Linked DNA regions of Mus musculus: region 1 is reported to be linked to region 2. The links are microRNA targets in miRTarBase. Many come from high-throughput screens and were not tested one by one. Region 2 holds a microRNA gene; the other region holds the end of a gene's coding sequence.
Evidence for each region. The annotated mature microRNA mmu-miR-3073a-5p reads GUGGUCACAGUUGGCGCCAGCC and lies in region 2 at 2,857-2,878, shown strand. An mRNA with a match to its seed (bases 2 to 7 or 8) in the 3' UTR can be bound and repressed. Matches are read on the target gene's strand: a 7mer-m8 pairs with bases 2 to 8, a 7mer-A1 pairs with bases 2 to 7 and ends in A, and an 8mer does both.

Region 1: miRTarBase lists Trmt12 as a target of mmu-miR-3073a-5p. Seed matches in the 3' UTR shown: 8mer at 3,128-3,135 and 7mer-m8 at 1,345-1,351.

The regions. Positions count from the first base shown.
Region 1 is chr15:58,873,420-58,877,755 of GRCm38, reverse strand. Trmt12 (tRNA methyltranferase 12) reads right to left here. Exons shown (of 1, transcript NM_026642.2): 1 at 975-4,336. The coding sequence ends at 3,661. Among named protein-coding and RNA genes, the nearest start is that of Trmt12, 2.9 kb to the right of the region's middle.
Region 2 is chr12:112,106,396-112,110,783 of GRCm38, forward strand. Mir3073a (microRNA 3073a) reads left to right here and starts at 2,843; the gene lies at 2,843-2,927. Aspg (asparaginase) reads left to right here and starts at 288. Exons shown (of 15, transcript NM_001081169.1): 1 at 288-578. The coding sequence starts at 497. Mir3073b (microRNA 3073b) reads right to left here and starts at 2,914; the gene lies at 2,855-2,914.

The DNA.
Region 1 (4,336 bases), not on the chromosome of region 2:
GACGGGGACTCAGCACTGTGTATGTAATCAAGGCTTGTCTTCAACTGTTCATCCTGCCACTGACTTCCAAGTGCTGATATCACAGGCACGTGCCTCCACATCTTCTGCACCACACTCCTATCCTGCCTTCAGCCCTTACTCTTCCTCCTCCACGTACACAAACTTGTTTTAGCCCCTCAGATGCCTCCTCCACAATGCACTTGTGTGTGTACTTTATCCTTAATTCTAGACCGGTAACGCCTGTGCTCCTTGGTCCCCATCATCACGTATTCCAAGGGGTTAGGCTTTGTTGTTGGCTTTTTGTTTTGTTTTTTGAAACGGGGTCTCTTTACATAGACCTGGATATCCTGGCTATGTAAACCAGACTTTCTTCAAACTCACAGAGATCCACCTGCCTCTGCCTCCCAGGTGCTGGGATTAAAGGTGTGTGCTTTTAACCACAGGTTCCTGTCGCACCAAGAACCTTTCCTCCCAGGACTCGCTATATGTGGGTGTTGTGTGACCTTTTGGTCTTCCACTATGAGGTCAGTGGAGTCTGGGTTTGGTTTGGCTTTGTCCACTGTTTCTTTGCTGAATCCAGTACATTGCTGGCTCTTAGTGTTATTTATGAATGGTCTTCCAATAAGAGTTTGTGATGGAGTTTTTATTTCCACGGCTTCTCCAGTAGGTGGCAGCATTAACAGCAAATGAAAAAACTTGATTTTATAGGTCTCGATTTTAGGTGTGAGCATTGCCCTGCTGCTGTTATTGATTTATTATCTGTCCTTAGTACTTGCCACACTGCTGTGTGGTTGCTTATTTATTGTTTCCTATATTGTATGCTACTGTCTGTCAAATATATCATACGGATACTTAGTTCACTATTTAGAATACAAGAAACATTTTCTGCCTATAAGAAAAAAATTCCAACTGTGGCATAAACAAGTTGGGTAGCCGGGGCCAGGGGTTGGGGAGTTGCAGATTTTTTTTTTTTTAATGGCAAAGATTAGACTTTTCAGGGTTCATGTTGCTGATCAAGGATTTCCTTAATACAAGTCCTGTATCCCATCTTAGCATACCTGGATGCTACATCTCCAGGGTAAGAACTCAACAGCCTCCTTGGAATGTCTGCTCCGTGCCAACACTAGCTTACCTGACTGTTGTAGAAAACTTTAATCCCAATCAGGGGTTTCTAGCTCACCTTTGATCATTTAGTCCTCGGGTAATGAGAAACCAGTGTTTTGCCTTCCCAGCTGTCTTTATTTCCCTTCCTGTCTTGTTATATAACCCAGGCCACCTGGGACTCAAGGATTAAACAATGTTTAGTGAAATGAATCCCACCAGCTCCGCCTGACACCAACTGCCTGGTCACAGCATATGACAAAAGGCAATTCCTCAGTCCCCAAGTGGTGCTCTGACTCATCTCCCTTGGACTCAAGCCCTAAGTTGGCACCTTTAGCATTTTAGTTCTGATATGGCAAGCTGTTGGCGCACGAGTGCAAAGAAACCTAGTCAGTGAAGAGGAAGTATGACAATTTAGGCAAACACAGGAAAGACTCTCTGAGAAAGGAGTGTTACAAGCAGGGCTCTGCAGTGGGGCCATAGGATAGCATTTCCTTGGGAGTTTACTGTGTAGAAGACCCTGCTCACAACAGTCTCATTGCCAACACACATATCATCATGTCCTGTTACAAGCAAATCACAATGGCTCACTTCCAGAGCACTGAAACTTTGGGGCCTAGTTCTGCTTCCTCCCCACCTAGCAAAATCTCACTCAACCAATTCAAGTACCAGTTCTAGTTCCTCATAGACTTCCTATTTATTTGTCAGAACTTTCTTCCCCTTTTTGCATCTGTCCAGCAAGTTATTGTGTGGCAGCTACTCTGCTCCAGCATTGAGGACCTCTGTACTCTCTGCTGCTAAGCTGTGAGCTCCCTGGGGAGAGGACTTTTTAACCTAATGGACCTTTATTTTCTGTACCTATCACATGTAGCAGGCACTGAATATTTGTGCTTAATGAGAAAGGCACCGGCACAGCCCTTATAGCTACTGTTGCAAGAAAGAGAGCAGCAGGCATGCACAACGCATGTAAGGCGGGGTTTTATAGCAAGACAAGGAAGAAGACATCCTGTTGTCTGTCTCCTTCATCAAGCAAACCAGCTCACTGGGCTTCAAAGTTCGTCAAAACAGAGCTCTATGTGATCCTCAGCGATTAGCTATCCTAGTGGCAAAAGCAGTGGAAAGTAGAAAGCCTTGTGACTCTATAATCAGATGGTTGGAAAACTGTGTTTCCTACCCACAGTAGCAACAGCTGCTACTGTTGCTTCTAGACATTTCATCTTGTATGTATATGTGTGTGTGTTTTATTTTTTTAATGAAAAAGAAATACTTTTCAGGGCTAGTAACACTGTTCAAGGATTTCCTCAATAAAGGAAGTCCTGTAATCCTGTTTTAGCATACCTGGATGCTACATCTCCAGGGTGAAAACTCAACAGCATCCTTAGAATGCCTGCTACATCTCTGTGCCAACACTAGCTTACCTGACCACTATAGGTACAAGTCATACTGTGGGAAACCAGAGCTTTGCCTTCCCAGCTGTCTTTATTTCCCTTCCTGTCTTGTTATGTAACTGGGCTACGTGGGACTCAGGATCGAACAACTCTTAGTGAAATGAATTCCACCAGCTACACCTGACACCAACTGCCTGTTCACAGCATCTGACAAAAGGCAAGCGCTTCCTATAGTTTCTTGACCAGGAAAAGAAGTCTATAAAAATCTTAGGATTTTTGTACAGCTATTATACTGCCCAAGGCTAGAACTTTAGATTACAGTTCAGAGAAGTGATCCTTGGTTTTAAGACAAGGTCTTACTCTATACCTTGACCAAGGTTGCCCTTGAACTTATAGCAATCATCTTGTCTTCAGCCTTCCAAGTACTGAGATTACAGGCATGAGTTATGCCTTAACTCTTTTTAACATAAAATAAAAAAGATCTAATATTTAATACTTTAATACCACACCCACACACAGACACTCCACTGAGAAATGCTATAGAATTTGAGTTACCTCTACTTACTGCCCCTTCCTATGTAATTTAGTCTCGGTATCAAAGCAGCATCACATTAATGCTTCAGTCTGGAGTTCATAACTTGGTCACACTGATTTTTCTCCAACCTATTATTTTCCAAGACCCCATGGCTACCACTTTAGTGCAAACCACTGTCACTTTGTACCTGCAAACTACAAAACATCTGTAGAAATGGACACTGGTTTCCCTATTTTGATCTTGGCTTACCAGTTGATTTCACATAATGTAGCTAGTACTCTGTGGGACCAATACTGTATTTCATGTAATAATGTCTGTATGACTTACTAGAAAAAAAAGCCACACGATCCAATTCAAGGAGGCTCTATATGCAAATAAATCCAAGACCAAATGAATATTAAGGCCATATCACTGAAAGCTAAGGTAAAAAATGCAGAATTCATGTCTGCACAGGTGAAACCTATTTTAATGAGTCACATTGGTTTCCTCTGATACTTTAATACATTCTCAATGTGATCAACAGAAGACAACTTTGGATCGATCTAGAGTTCATTTTCAGACCACAGATCACTTTAAAAGGTCACCAGAAAACAGAAGGGTGAGAACACAGCCCTCGATGAGGCACTCATCTGGCAATTACTGTGTCAGTAAATCTACTCCTTCTGGCCAACTAGAGGTCAGGGGCCGGCATTCTAGATCTAGGACTATGTGATCCACGTGAGGGGCGTAAGATTTCACTGGGTGGACATGCAAGATTCGTGTCCTCCATGGTTTCCCATGCACTTGATGAAGAAGAGAGGCGATCTGAGTTTCTGCAGATTCTGCCCATCTCCACCACTCTGGTTTGTTGGCCGATGATATTTCCCCCCTGAAATTCTCAGTAGTTCCATTTCCCTGTGTATCAGTGGTGATTTTCTGGGGACGAGGCCAGTGCTCTTTTTCCACGTTATTGCTTCCAGGTGGCTGTGGAGTCTTTCCTGAGAAAGACTCCACATTTTGGTGGATATGCAGAATACCCCCAACGTCCTTCCGAAGCACTTGGCAGGCAACGGGCCAGCCTTCTTTAGAACTGGGAATGAGCCCGAGGTTCACCCTATCTGCAATGTCTGAGAGCTTCAGTTTCCTGTTGTCCCCAAAATGTATTTGGCACCGGTCTGCCACTCCATTGATCTCCAAGTTGTTTCTTAAAGCAACTACAGCATGAGGATTCCATTCACAGGCATGTACGAAGGCAGCGCCAGCATGAACTAGGAAGGGCAATGTAAAATAACCAATCCCTGCGTAGAGATCCACCAGCACCTCTCCAGCACAG
Region 2 (4,388 bases):
TCAGGAACACAGTAGGTGTGCTATCTCTGCATCAGGATCTCCTAGCTCTTAAGACCCTGCTCCTGCATTTCCCTGCCCTCCTGGTGCCTCTAGATCACAAGTGAGACCGGACCCTCAGAGACTCAAGGAGTTTGTGGAGAGTGTCTAGACTGGGACTGGAGAGTGGCCCTGACTGGGCATTCTGGAGGTCCCTGGCCTGAGTTAGGTAAGGCAAACCCAGAAAACCCGCCCCTTTTTGAGGCCCCACCCTCCTATGGTCTCAGCCCATCCCTAGCAGACATTCTTCCTGCCCTTTACAAGAGTCCAAGTGTCCCGCTCTCTACTTTGAAGGTGACTCCTCCTCCACACCCCGAGGTCCAGCCTACCTTGGATCTTCAATTCCCACCAACCAGAGGAGCCCCAGACCTCCAGTAAGCCCCACCCTGCAGTCCCCTCCGCTTCCCGGTCTTGTTTTCCCTTTGGCTCTGTCCCCACTGAGGAGCCAGCTGTCTCAGCCATGGCGCGTGCTATGGGACCAGAGCGGCGGCTGCTGGCCATTTACACTGGCGGCACCATCGGCATGCGGAGCGAAGGCGGAGGTAAGTCTGTGTCCCCACGCCCTAAGCAGAACAACCTCAGGGCTGGGCCACTGGGAACTCTGGGGCTGTCTCTTGAAAGGGGAGAAAGGACCCTTTCTCCTCTGGGAGCTCTGGTGGCTGGAGCCCCGGCCCTAGAAAGGGTGAGGGGCAGAGTAAATGTTCCTGACCTGAAGTTATCTATCCCTGAAGCCATGAGACTCATGGGGGGAGGAGGGACCATGGAAGGCTGCTCTGTTCTGTGCCTGGGGCGCTGGGAAGGATGCTGGAACATTCCACACCTTCTAGCCTATGAAAGCCCTTAGGGTGAGCTAGCTTCCTCTGAGGGACTAACACTGCCTCAGGCAGAGCTGCTTGCCTGCTCTCTCCCTGCAGAGAACCTTTAGTTTTCCTAAACTGAGGGCCAAGCTGGTTGCTCAAGGAGCTTGGGCACCAGGGTCAGGGGCTTGGAAGTCTGTCCTCTGACACATTCTGCTGCCTCTGGTCGAGACAACCTGGGGAATGCCCCCCGGGGACACCCCACTAGCAGGTGAGGTCGTGGCCAATTTGCTTAGCCTTCACTGGACTGATGACAAAGCAACAGCACCCATTAAGAAGCTGAACGCTAGCGGGTCAGTTACTGCAGTGGGCACCGTGTGTGCTGTTGGGTTGTAGTGGGGCCACTCTCTGAGGGCTCCTTTGAGAACACAGGCTCCTGGAAGGAGTGGCTGCTGGGCTGAGGAAGAAGTGTGGCCAGACCAGGACGTGCAGTGTGAGGAAAGGAGAGAGGAACCCAGCACACAGCTTAGAGAGGAGGCTTCAGAACTGCCTAGAACAGGGACTGGCCCTATGCACCGGGACCTTGTCCCACCTGGACTCTTCCCCTCTCGGCTTGACACTTGGGCGACTTCAGTCCTGTTGAACCTAATTGGTGTGGCCCAAGCTAAGGGACCAGTGGACTCTGCGCACAGTCCCACCTGTGGTGACACTGTGCCTCGTGCCCCTTGGATGTCCCCGTGTGTGCTACAGTGGAAGAACATGATGGGTCAGGAAAGTGCAATGAATCCTTGAAGGCCCAGGTCAGTAAGGTGTGGGTTTTCAGATGGGTGAAGGTCTTCTAGGCCCCTTACGAACCCCCCGGGGATATGCAAGCCCTGGGAAGAGACGGAGGCCAACAGGCATCTGCCTGGTTTAGAAGCTCCTTCCTCAGGGTGGCAGACACACCACCCAAGGAGATCAAAATGGCAGCAGGCTTCAGACCCCAGGACAGTACGGTTCTAAGCTGAGGGCTCTGCTCCCCAGACCAGCTTATCCAGAAACCCATCCCAGGCCCTCATGGGATCCCACGGCCTACAGCTTCTGACCCTTTCCACTTTTTTTTTTTTTTCCGAGACAGGGTTTCTCTGTATAGCCGTAGCTGTCCTGGAATTCACTCTGTAGACCAGGCTGGCCTCGAACTCAGAAATCCGCCTGCCTCTGCCTGTGCTGGGATTAAGGGCGTGTGCCACCACTGTCACTCTTTAGAGCAATTTTTGGGAGCCTTGGGCTTAGTCCTCTGGGAACAAGGGAGAACTAGAAAAGAGATGTGGCTTTTGATGGCCTCGAGGGGGATCTACACACACAAATGGGCAGTCAGTGCTAGGTCTTAGAGCCTTGGGCCTGCCTCATGTGTGGCAGATAGGAATGGGCACCTTAACTTTCTAAAAAAGGGAGATTTTCATTTCTGGAAATGAGGCAGAACCCAAAGCAAGGCAAACTGGGTAAAGCCTAAGCCTGGAACCTGGGGCTCAGGCAATGTCGCAGCCCTGTGTGCCCTGCTATGAGGTTGCTGAACTGTGGGCTGCAGGCCCTGCCTGTCCTGGATGGCCCCACTGGCATGAATGATTAACCAGCGTGGCCCCACTTTATGTGGGTCCTGGCCCCTTGTGAGTGGGAGTGGTGGCTTCCGCTACAGAGAAGCTGTTTATATTGTCGCTGTTGTAACAGCTCGTGTACCTTCTGGTAAACAGTGCCCAACACTGGGTGGGGAGTCCTGCCAAGGCAGGAGAGGGCAGAGGTGACCTTATGCCTCACCTCTCCACCACCCCTTTCAGGGCTCTATGGAAATGTCACAAGTCAAAAAACAACATGTGTCCAGTGACGCTAAGCCTGGTCCTAGGCTTGTTTCAGTGACACCTGGTCACCCAAGGGCTTCCTGTGTTAACTAGGGTACCTCTTGCCTGCTGCCCTTGGGAGCCATTTGGTGCAACCACCACAGGGGAGCTAAGCTTCTGCACGGAGTAGCCAAAGCTGTTCCTGCCCAGTGGTCACAGTTGGCGCCAGCCCTAGAGTCTAGATGGGTTGATGTCCACTGTGACCATAGTGCAGGCCAGCAGGAGGCCAGGTGGAGGGGGGTTCAGCATCCCAGGGTCACATGCTTTGGGGGTACCCTCCACGGGAAAAGGATGCAGCTTATGAAATCGGAATCGGGAATGAAGGCCAGTATTAGAACACTGAAAGAAATCACAGAAAATTCTAATTTAAATGGAATCCAGAAAAATGGTCTTACCTGGCGGCGGCTCAGGTCCTGTCTTCCTTCGCTGTTTCTGTGACATTTTTTCTTTTCTCGGATCTTGTCATATGGTAACAAGTTTGTAGTTTCTTTCCAGAAAGAAAGCATAGGAGAGTTTAGATTTCTCCTGGCTAGTTTTAATACTTGTCAGGTGCCCCCCTTCAAGATGGGGCTCCCAATGTCTGTACCCCCTCAGTCCAGCTGATGATACCCTCAGGCGCCACTGCCCACGGTCAGAGTTAATAATCCAGCTGTAGACAGAAGACCTTTGCCTCAGGCAAACACATCCACAGGTCTCTCACCTCCGCTTCCCCTTCCCTGCCGCCCCTGGAGTATCTAGTGCCATCTTCTGTCAAGGGAACTCACAGGAGAGTGGAGGTCTCAGTGTCCTGGGGTTGGCAGCCACTCAGCATTGAAAGCCTCAGGGCCCGCCCCACTTTCTGGAGGCAAAGTTTAAAGTCTCAAGGCCTTAACAGCTGAGCGGTCTTCCTGGTGACTGCCAGGGTCCTGGTTTGAGGCCACATTCCTCCTGTCTACGAGGAGACAGCACACCTCTGTTCTGTGTGCTGCTTTGCCAAATGGTCTCCGATGTGTCGCTCCCCTGCCTGCCTTTTCTTACAAGGGCACACAGGTGAAAACCCAGCATCTTCTCTTCCTCCCCGGTGTACTTTACACAATCACACCTGCAAAAACTTTGTCACAAAAGGCAAATGCCGCAGGTTCTTAGACAAGGATGTTGGGTACCTTGGGTAGCTACTGCACGTGGAGGCAAGCAGGCTGATGTCCTGGTCACACCTAGGGTGTCTCTGGAGGCCCATGGAGCTGACTAAACATACAGGGTTCATCTGTTTTCTGAGCCCAGTCCTCAAAACATTTCCATAAGTGACAGGGACCACAGATTGCACCCTGAGAAGTTTTAGGGACACCATGCCAGGCTGGAGGTGTGTTGGAGATTAGGGGGTACCTAGTGAAGCTGGGGGCATGGCAGTGGTGTGGTGGGGAACAGCTTTGTCAGCTCCAGATTCTGCAGGCTCCTGACCTGCACCTGGGGGGCGGGGCATAGAGCACATCTGATCTGTGTTTTACTTATGACAGTGTTCTCAGGAATGAGAGCTAGTCTGCAACAGTGAGAGGCTGGCAAGCAGCCGCGGAGTAGCAGCTGAGGAGGGAAGATGGGAGAGATGTTACTACAAGAGGAGGGGCCGGCAGGGTACCTGGGGCTGGCTGGAGTGCTCAAGTGTCCTTCTAGTCAGCCCCAGAAATAGGATGTCGCCAAGAGCACC